2 linked regions of the Oryzias latipes genome follow. The protein of the gene in region 2 purifies or fractionates together with the protein of the main gene of each other region. This does not show direct contact. Links are inferred from orthologs where the notes say so. Each region holds a gene or a part of one and is shown on either strand. Other genes may lie near its edges.

Evidence for each region.
Region 1: the proteins of edc4 (region 2) and xrn1 purify together in Homo sapiens (co-immunoprecipitation; 4 studies listed by BioGRID and IntAct, with this or other methods). This does not show direct contact. The link is inferred for Oryzias latipes from reciprocal best matches to the Homo sapiens genes EDC4 and XRN1.

Annotation. Positions count from the first base shown.
Region 1 is NC_019875.2:19,740,957-19,744,473, forward strand, and holds part of xrn1 (5'-3' exoribonuclease 1), read right to left. Parts: intron 2,832-3,517; coding exon 2,722-2,831; intron 2,624-2,721; coding exon 2,513-2,623; intron 2,434-2,512; coding exon 2,348-2,433; intron 2,204-2,347; coding exon 2,116-2,203; intron 1,567-2,115; coding exon 1,398-1,566; intron 1,161-1,397; coding exon 1,093-1,160; intron 761-1,092; coding exon 623-760; intron 536-622; coding exon 366-535; intron 1-365. UniProt on the Homo sapiens protein: Major 5'-3' exoribonuclease involved in mRNA decay. Required for the 5'-3'-processing of the G4 tetraplex-containing DNA and RNA substrates. The kinetic of hydrolysis is faster for G4 RNA tetraplex than for G4 DNA tetraplex and monomeric RNA tetraplex.
Region 2 is NC_019864.2:24,347,466-24,351,476, forward strand, and holds the start of edc4 (enhancer of mRNA-decapping protein 4), read left to right. Parts: upstream 1-1,205; 5' UTR 1,206-1,348; coding exon 1,349-1,436; intron 1,437-4,011. UniProt on the Homo sapiens protein: In the process of mRNA degradation, seems to play a role in mRNA decapping. Component of a complex containing DCP2 and DCP1A which functions in decapping of ARE-containing mRNAs. Promotes complex formation between DCP1A and DCP2.

The DNA of each region.
Region 1 (3,517 bases), on a different chromosome or scaffold from region 2:
CCCAAAAGAGCAGTTTGTTAATTTTGACATGTTAAATGTTACTTTTTTTTTTTTTTACGTTCACAGTAAATATAAAAAATATTCCTTATGGCAACTTTTTTCAAACAGGAAACATTGTGACTATTAAAATAAATGCTTTATTTGTTTTAGTTCCAGTTTATTTTCTCACTCATTTCTTGTTGATCAATAACCAGGCACAAGATTCAGAAAAAAAAAAACCTGATCATTTCTGCTGAGTCATACTTTCTTTCCCATGCGGCACAATCAGTAAATGACAACAGTGTCGGCAAAAGGGAATTATTTTATTTAAATCGTTTGCTATAGATTTTACACATTCACTCCTTTCTGTATTGCTTTGTACTCACTCAGACACTACATCTACGGCCATCTTGGTCATATAGTATGTGCGTTTGTACTGCCTGAACTCGGTTTCAAACAGATCATCCTCCTCCTCTTCATCGTCATCCTCAGCCACTTCTTTGTGTTCAGTATCTTTGTCAGGTGAAGTCAGGGCTGACAGTCCGAGGGACGCATCCTTTCCAGAAAACATAAGACATAAATTACAAAAAAAAAAGCTGCTCTCAGTCAAAAAAAAGATCTTTATTTGTCACTGTGTCTCCACCTTTTTCTTGTTGAACTTTTTCCCAGCAGATTCCTTCTCGGCTGCCAGACCAGCCGACTCGTTCAGATATTTGTTTCCCACTTTGCTCTCAAACCACTTTAAGTCCACAAACACTTCATTAAAATGTTCCCGGTCAAACTGGAGGGATGCAGGACGGAATCAAGGGAGAAAAAAGGTCATGTGCTAGTAAATACACAGTGTACCAATAATACAGTCTGAAGAAAGATGCTGCGATATACAAACATGTATAAAGAACATGTCCATAAAATTTGACTGGACTAAATTATAAAAAGGAAACAAAACTACAACACTAAAAGAAGTCAAGATAGGATTAGTTTTCAAATTAATACAAACACATCCATAGTTATATTTAGTTTGATTTATTTATTTACTGTTTTCTTAGTATAAAATGTACTTTTTTTTTTACATTTTAAAAATTTCTTTGGAAACATTCATACTATGTGTCTCACCTCAGAAAGTTTCTCCATGTATTTCTCAAAGTTTTTGAGGTTTAAGTGCCCATTTTCATTCAGATAACCTAAATCAGACAGAAAAAAATAGGTTTTAATTATGAAAATCCAGAAGAAAAAGTGGGTGTTAATATAAAACCTATAAGACATCGAATGATTATGACGTTGATTCATGCTTCTAAGTGGAAATAAACATTTAAAGTGTAAATGTAAAAGCACAGGAACTATGTACAAATGTGTGATGCCATTATGTTTTTGCTCCTTATATTTGTGTGTGTGTGTGTGTGTGTGTGCGTGGTTCTAACCCCCCAGGCTGGGTAGCACACTGATGTAAGTTTTGTACAGCATTGGCAAAGCATCATGATTAATATGAAGATTAGGCAGATGGGGGATGAAATCATTCCCCACGAGAAATCCCATTAAAATCCAGTCATCTATTATTCGCTCCAGATCATAGGCAGAGCCCAAATGATTCTGAAAGATAAACAAAGAAAATACATATCAGACATTGCTTTTATATCAGAAACACAAAAGTGTACATTCAACTCTCCTTAGATATTTTAAGAAGACACTAAGCCTGCACAAAAAAAAAAAAAAAAAAAGAAATCGCAAATTTGTCACAAAATCAAGCTGTGCAATACGCAAAAGTCGAAGAAAATTGCAATAAATGGCAACCTTAAATGTGCTAAAACAATCATATGGCAGCTTGAAGTATTTAACAGATCAAATAAATCTATTTACACATTTGACCAACGATGGAGCCTTTTATGTTAGATGCTTGCCTCCTACGTAGACGAGGGTCATTTGGAGAATAATTTAAGTGATGCTGACTCCTATATAAATTAAACTGTTGCAGTGAAATGGAAATTATGTATTTAGATATTTTGCTATTTGTTCATGTATCGCAAGTTATCGTCGTCGCAATATTGATCACTAATATGGCAAATTGCAGGTTCTCCTCATATCGTGCAGCTCTAAAAGACACATTTAAAATGCTTTAATGCTCTGTGTGCCAAGTTAGACCTTAAGCCATGAGAACTCATAATCGATGTATTCCCTCATCAAGGACAAGTGCAGCAAGTGAAAAGTCGTCTCTTCAGGAGCCGTTATCCTGGAGGCGAAGACAAAAAGGAGAGTTTAAAACAAAGATAAAGAAGAATCTGAAAGAGAAGCTAAAATGTAAAAACATAATTGTACTTTTTATACTAAAGAAAACTTGGACTTGTGAGAAAAACAATCGAGAGGAACACCAAACCTTTTCTGTGATTTCTTCCCTCCAAAGCGAACCTCCTCTCTGAGCAGAGAGAAGTGCGGCTCATGGCTGGTTAAACCCAACATAATCTGGAAAACAGGTTAAAAAGCAAAGCAAATTACTCTATTAGGGCTCCAAAAACATTGTTTAGAGATTTCCGAACCTTACCAGGTCAGCATCCAGGCCATACAGGCAGTGCCGGGTGTTAGGATCATGACTGGGTTTGGAGTTCTCAGAGCGAATAAACTCCATGATTTTGTGTTCTCCCTCTCCCGGTGTCTTAAAAAGAAGAAGATGCCCCCACAAAGTCAAAACAAGCAACCTTCACTGAAGCTATCAATCAGTCAGCAAGTTGGAAAGAATGTAAAGCACTTCACCTCGTGACCAGACAAGTAGACTTTGACATTGTGCCAGAGCTTGTCAGTGGAGAGCTTGTTGTGGACAAAGTACTTAAGCTGCTCTTGAAGTCTCGCCATGAAGTCAGTGCCTGAAAAAAGTACATAGCTAAATGTGTGAAATACACTATAATTCCATTTCTGCTGTTGTTATTACCTGGAGTGAGCGGCTTAACGCAAAATGGCAACATTGGTTACAAATTTGTATCAGACAACGAGGTTTCCCTTAAGATAATGGACACCTTAAAGAGCATAGTCACTCATGAAAGACGTAAATATATATATTTATACATATATATATTAGGCCTGCACAATTTACCGCAAATTTATCGTTATCGCAATATCAAGCAGTGCAATATCCATATTGCAAAAGTCAGCAAAAATCGCAATAAATGGTTACCTTAAATGTGCTAACACAATCCTATGGCAGCTTGAAGCATTTAACGAATCAAATAAATCCATTTATGCATTTGACCAATTGGATGGACCTTTTCCGATGTTGACCAATCAGATGAGCCCTTTTATGTTAGATGTTTGCATCCTACGTCAACAAGGGTCATTTGGAGTATCATTTTTTTAAACTGTTGAAATGACATGGTAATGATGTTTTTGGTTGTTTTGCTATTTGTTTATATACCGCAAATTATATCGTTATCGCAATATTGATCACTAATATCGCACATCGCAAGTTTTGCTCATATCGTGCAGCCCTAATATATATATACATCCATAAAGGATATGCTGGGAGATAAAATGTTCATAGTTTTAAAGTCATCAT
Region 2 (4,011 bases):
GGTTGTAAATGTTAATAAAATCATTTTTATTCCAATTCATTAAAAAGTGAAGATGGGTTGTAGAAGTGTTGTTGCATGTGTTAATATGTATTATTACAAACAAACAGACCAATATATTTTCCTTTAGGGCACAAGACTCAAAAAAAGAAAAGAAAATTGAAGAGGAATTTATTTACTTTCTTTCTCTGTCAGCAATGCAACATTGAACACATCACCCCCCTCTCGACTGGTACTTTTCCCCCCCAAATTTCTCAGGTTTCAGAGCTTAAGGTTCATTTTCCTTTTATACAAATATTTTTTTCTTATTAAACATTGTATTAATAACTGTTCATTCATTCATCTTCTAATCTGTTTTCCAGGGTCACAGGGCTGCTGGAGCCTGTCCCAGCCATTTGTGGGCAAAAGCGACACCCTGGACAGTTTGCCAGTCTGTGGCAGGGCCACAATCACACACCCATGCACCAATGCACTCTCACATTCACACCTAGGGGCAATTTAGACTAACCAATTAACCTATGAAGCATGTTTTTGGACAGTGGGAGGAAGCTGGAGAGAACATGCAAACTCCACAGAAAGACCCCCCCCCATTGATGTTCTGTTTCAGTATCCCCAGCTGAGACTTGAACCAGGGGCCTTCTTGCTGGGAGGCAAGAGCGCTAACCACTGCTCCACTGTGCAGCCCACTAATTAATAACTAATTATTATTAAAAAATATGAATATATTAATCATAATCTCAACTTTTTCTTAAAAAATAAAATTAAAAAATCACATTAAGGAGTGAATATAAATGCTTATTTTCACATTTCATTCATTAGTATGCATTAATGTCTTAATTGCTATTGTTTTATTTGTGATCATGTTTGAGCTTTTAATTGTAGGTCATCGTGTTCAATTGTGGTCATTGTAAGACAGCACCAAAATAAAAATCTGCCACATTTGATATAATATTTATGCACTTCCTAAAGGAGCAAATCAGGCAGACAGTGCCAGCTTGAGTGGTCTGTTTTATCTCAACTGCACAGTATAATGTGGTTTGTAGAAATACATTTATGATGTGGATAAAATAATCTGTTCTTTTTTTTGGGAGGGGGGGGGGCAATGATCTTATATGAGAGTTAAAGTCCGTTTTCCTTTAGTTTGCTTAGTTGTGGAAAGCACGAAGAAGCCTGTAAATTTGAAAGTAGGAACCAGGAAGCATTGACTTGACCCTGTAACCAGTCGGAACATCTACGGAGAGGACCAAACGGAAGTTTAGACGGTTGCTGTGGGTGAAGGGACAGCTTCGCTGTAGACGAAAATTTAAAATTCTCCCCTTCAATTTACCCAGTCTTCCCCTTTCCCTCGCCCATGTCGTCCAGCTCTAATATAGACATCGAGGGTGCGACCCAGCACCTCCGGGATATCCTCAAGCTCGACCGTTCGGGAAACGGCGCCGGTAAGTCGCACCGGGAACGAAAAGTCGCTGCGCTGCCAGTTAGGCCGCTAAGCTAGCAGGCTGCTAGCTTGCTACATTAGTAACACCCGTTTCGGCGTGAAAACGTCCCCTGATAGATTTTATACACATTTGTAGGAAAAAGGCAAACTATAGAAGACAGTTTAAACGTCGAAGAGTTTCCACTCACACTTGTCGTGTTTGAGTAGTTTGTTTGTGGCGCTGCGACTGCTTCGACCTCACCGACATAGCTCGGTTAGCTTAAGGCTCATTCCATCTATGGAAAAACTATAGAAAAGCAGATAAAGTGATACAGGAACTAACTTCAAGCTCTATATTAGTTCTTAAATCGAGTCACCATATTTGGAAGGTTTTCCCATTTTACATGATATACGAAGTCTAAAAATAAGCAGTAAACACTACAGGTAAGCAGCCAGGACTTCAAATATAATTATCGTGCGAAATATTTGTCACAGCATTTTTTATGTTACCCCAAAGTACACCAATCACCCAGAAAATTAACAGTCCCATATAATTGTATCACGCTTGTATGTCTGGTATGTTTTCGGGAAGCACACAACAAATGCTTTGTTTTTAAGGAGGAAAATTTTCAAGTGCGATTCTAGGGCTAAACGTGTATATGGATGGTTTTTAGAAATGTGTATTTTCGTGGCCTTGATGATTGCAGATCGAAGCATTAAGTTGTTAATGCTGAGAGAATTTTGAACATATTTCTATGTTTGTTATTTTTTTTTTTTTTTTTTTTTTTTACAGTTCTTGGTCATTTTTAAGTTTTTCAATTGTCTTGAAGTTTTTTTCTTAATATCAAATACCAAATATTTCTGACACGTGCCTGCTTGCACGGGGAATAATGTGTATTTTTTTGTTTAAACATATCAAATGATCTCAAAATAAATCAAACTTTTATTTTGGGATGATCTGGTTTGATTTGGACACGTAAATACTTTTTAAAAAATTGACTTGATTATCACTGGACTAAGAAAATGGATTTGCTGTGTTGTTTGTCTTTTGTGGTCCAGCTACAAGAAAATTGCAAGTGTAAAAGAATAAGCTTCATTTGGTCAAAATACGTTATTATAGTTAATTAAATCAAATGACTTATATCGACTCATTCTGGACTGAATTTCCTTTTAGAGTAAATTATTGGTTTTTGTTCGTTTAAGGTTTGCTTTAAATCAAACTGAATAGAAGAATCAAATGGGTTTGCATTTATTTTAAACTTACTTTTGGGTTATCTTTTTTTCATTTTTTTTGTACTGCTTTGTACACGTTTATTAATACAGTATAAATAAAATGATTTTCATGAGATGAAAATATTAGAAAATGGAAAGCGTCCACGTAACCCCTGAAATGATTCCTCCATGTAATGTAATTGATGGTCAGTTTAAAGTCAGTATCATACTGTTTGTTCTTTTCAGTTAACTAAAAATGTTTTGAAGTAACCCAATTACCATAGCAGTCTATCCTTTTCATAATAAACAGATGAACAATATTTGTGTCAAATTAAGTTATATTATTAAACTGAAATAAATAATTTAATCTTTAAGATTTAAAAGGCTTTACAGGTTAAAACACTCATCTGCTCAAAGTGATAAATGGGTATAAATATAATTAAACTGCTGGCTGTTATAAAAGCGGTGTAGTAAGAGTCCAAATGCAGTTCTATTTGCTGTCTCTCAAATGAAAAGCGCCTTCTGTTGAGGAAAGATGGCCTCCACAATACATTAAATACAGATTTTCTGTTTTAAACACTTTTAGTAGTTATTTTATCCGTTCAAAACAATTTTATCCTACACATTTAAACTAAAGATGCCACCAAATATGAAAACAAAAAAAATCAAGATCTTAAATAAATTCAGCAAGAGGGGAAAAAGTACTGCATGTTTTAACCTGCGTTATTTTAGTTTCATTATTTAAAAATAAATAAATATAAAGCCAGTTCATTTTTTTGGCAGCTGTCCTTTATATTTTTAGGAAAGTAAAAATCAACAGATTTCATCAGAAAAAATGTATTCAGAGCAAGAAATCTGTATCTAGTTTTTCAAGCTACTGTTGAGTTTGATGAGGGTTTTTTATGCTAGAAGAACCTTTTGAGCAAAAGGACACGGCAGAAACTGAGGAAACTGGCTGCGAGGAATAAATAAAAATAGGGACTCATTATGCTAAAACAGTATTGCATTTCAAAAAATCTATTCATCTAATTTGAAATAGTGTGATTTTGTTTGTTTTTCTTGTTAAAAAAGCTATTCTGATTTCTCTCCAATAATAATCTTTCTGACAATGTCTGCAATTCTCAAACTTTATTCCATAGTTATGATGGCTTGATCTTATTTTACACTTGTAAGATCAACAAACAACAGATTTGTAAGATAACAATCCTCTTTGTTTGTGTTAAATGCAGACACTTCACTGGCAGAGATGAGAACCGAGTTCTGCTTTCAGCTGTCATAAATACTGCATGAGTCGATGTCATTGATGTTCTGATTTGTTTATTTTTCATGAATTATGGGTCATAATAAACTGATAATCAACCTCCAGGTGCATCATGCCCCTTTAT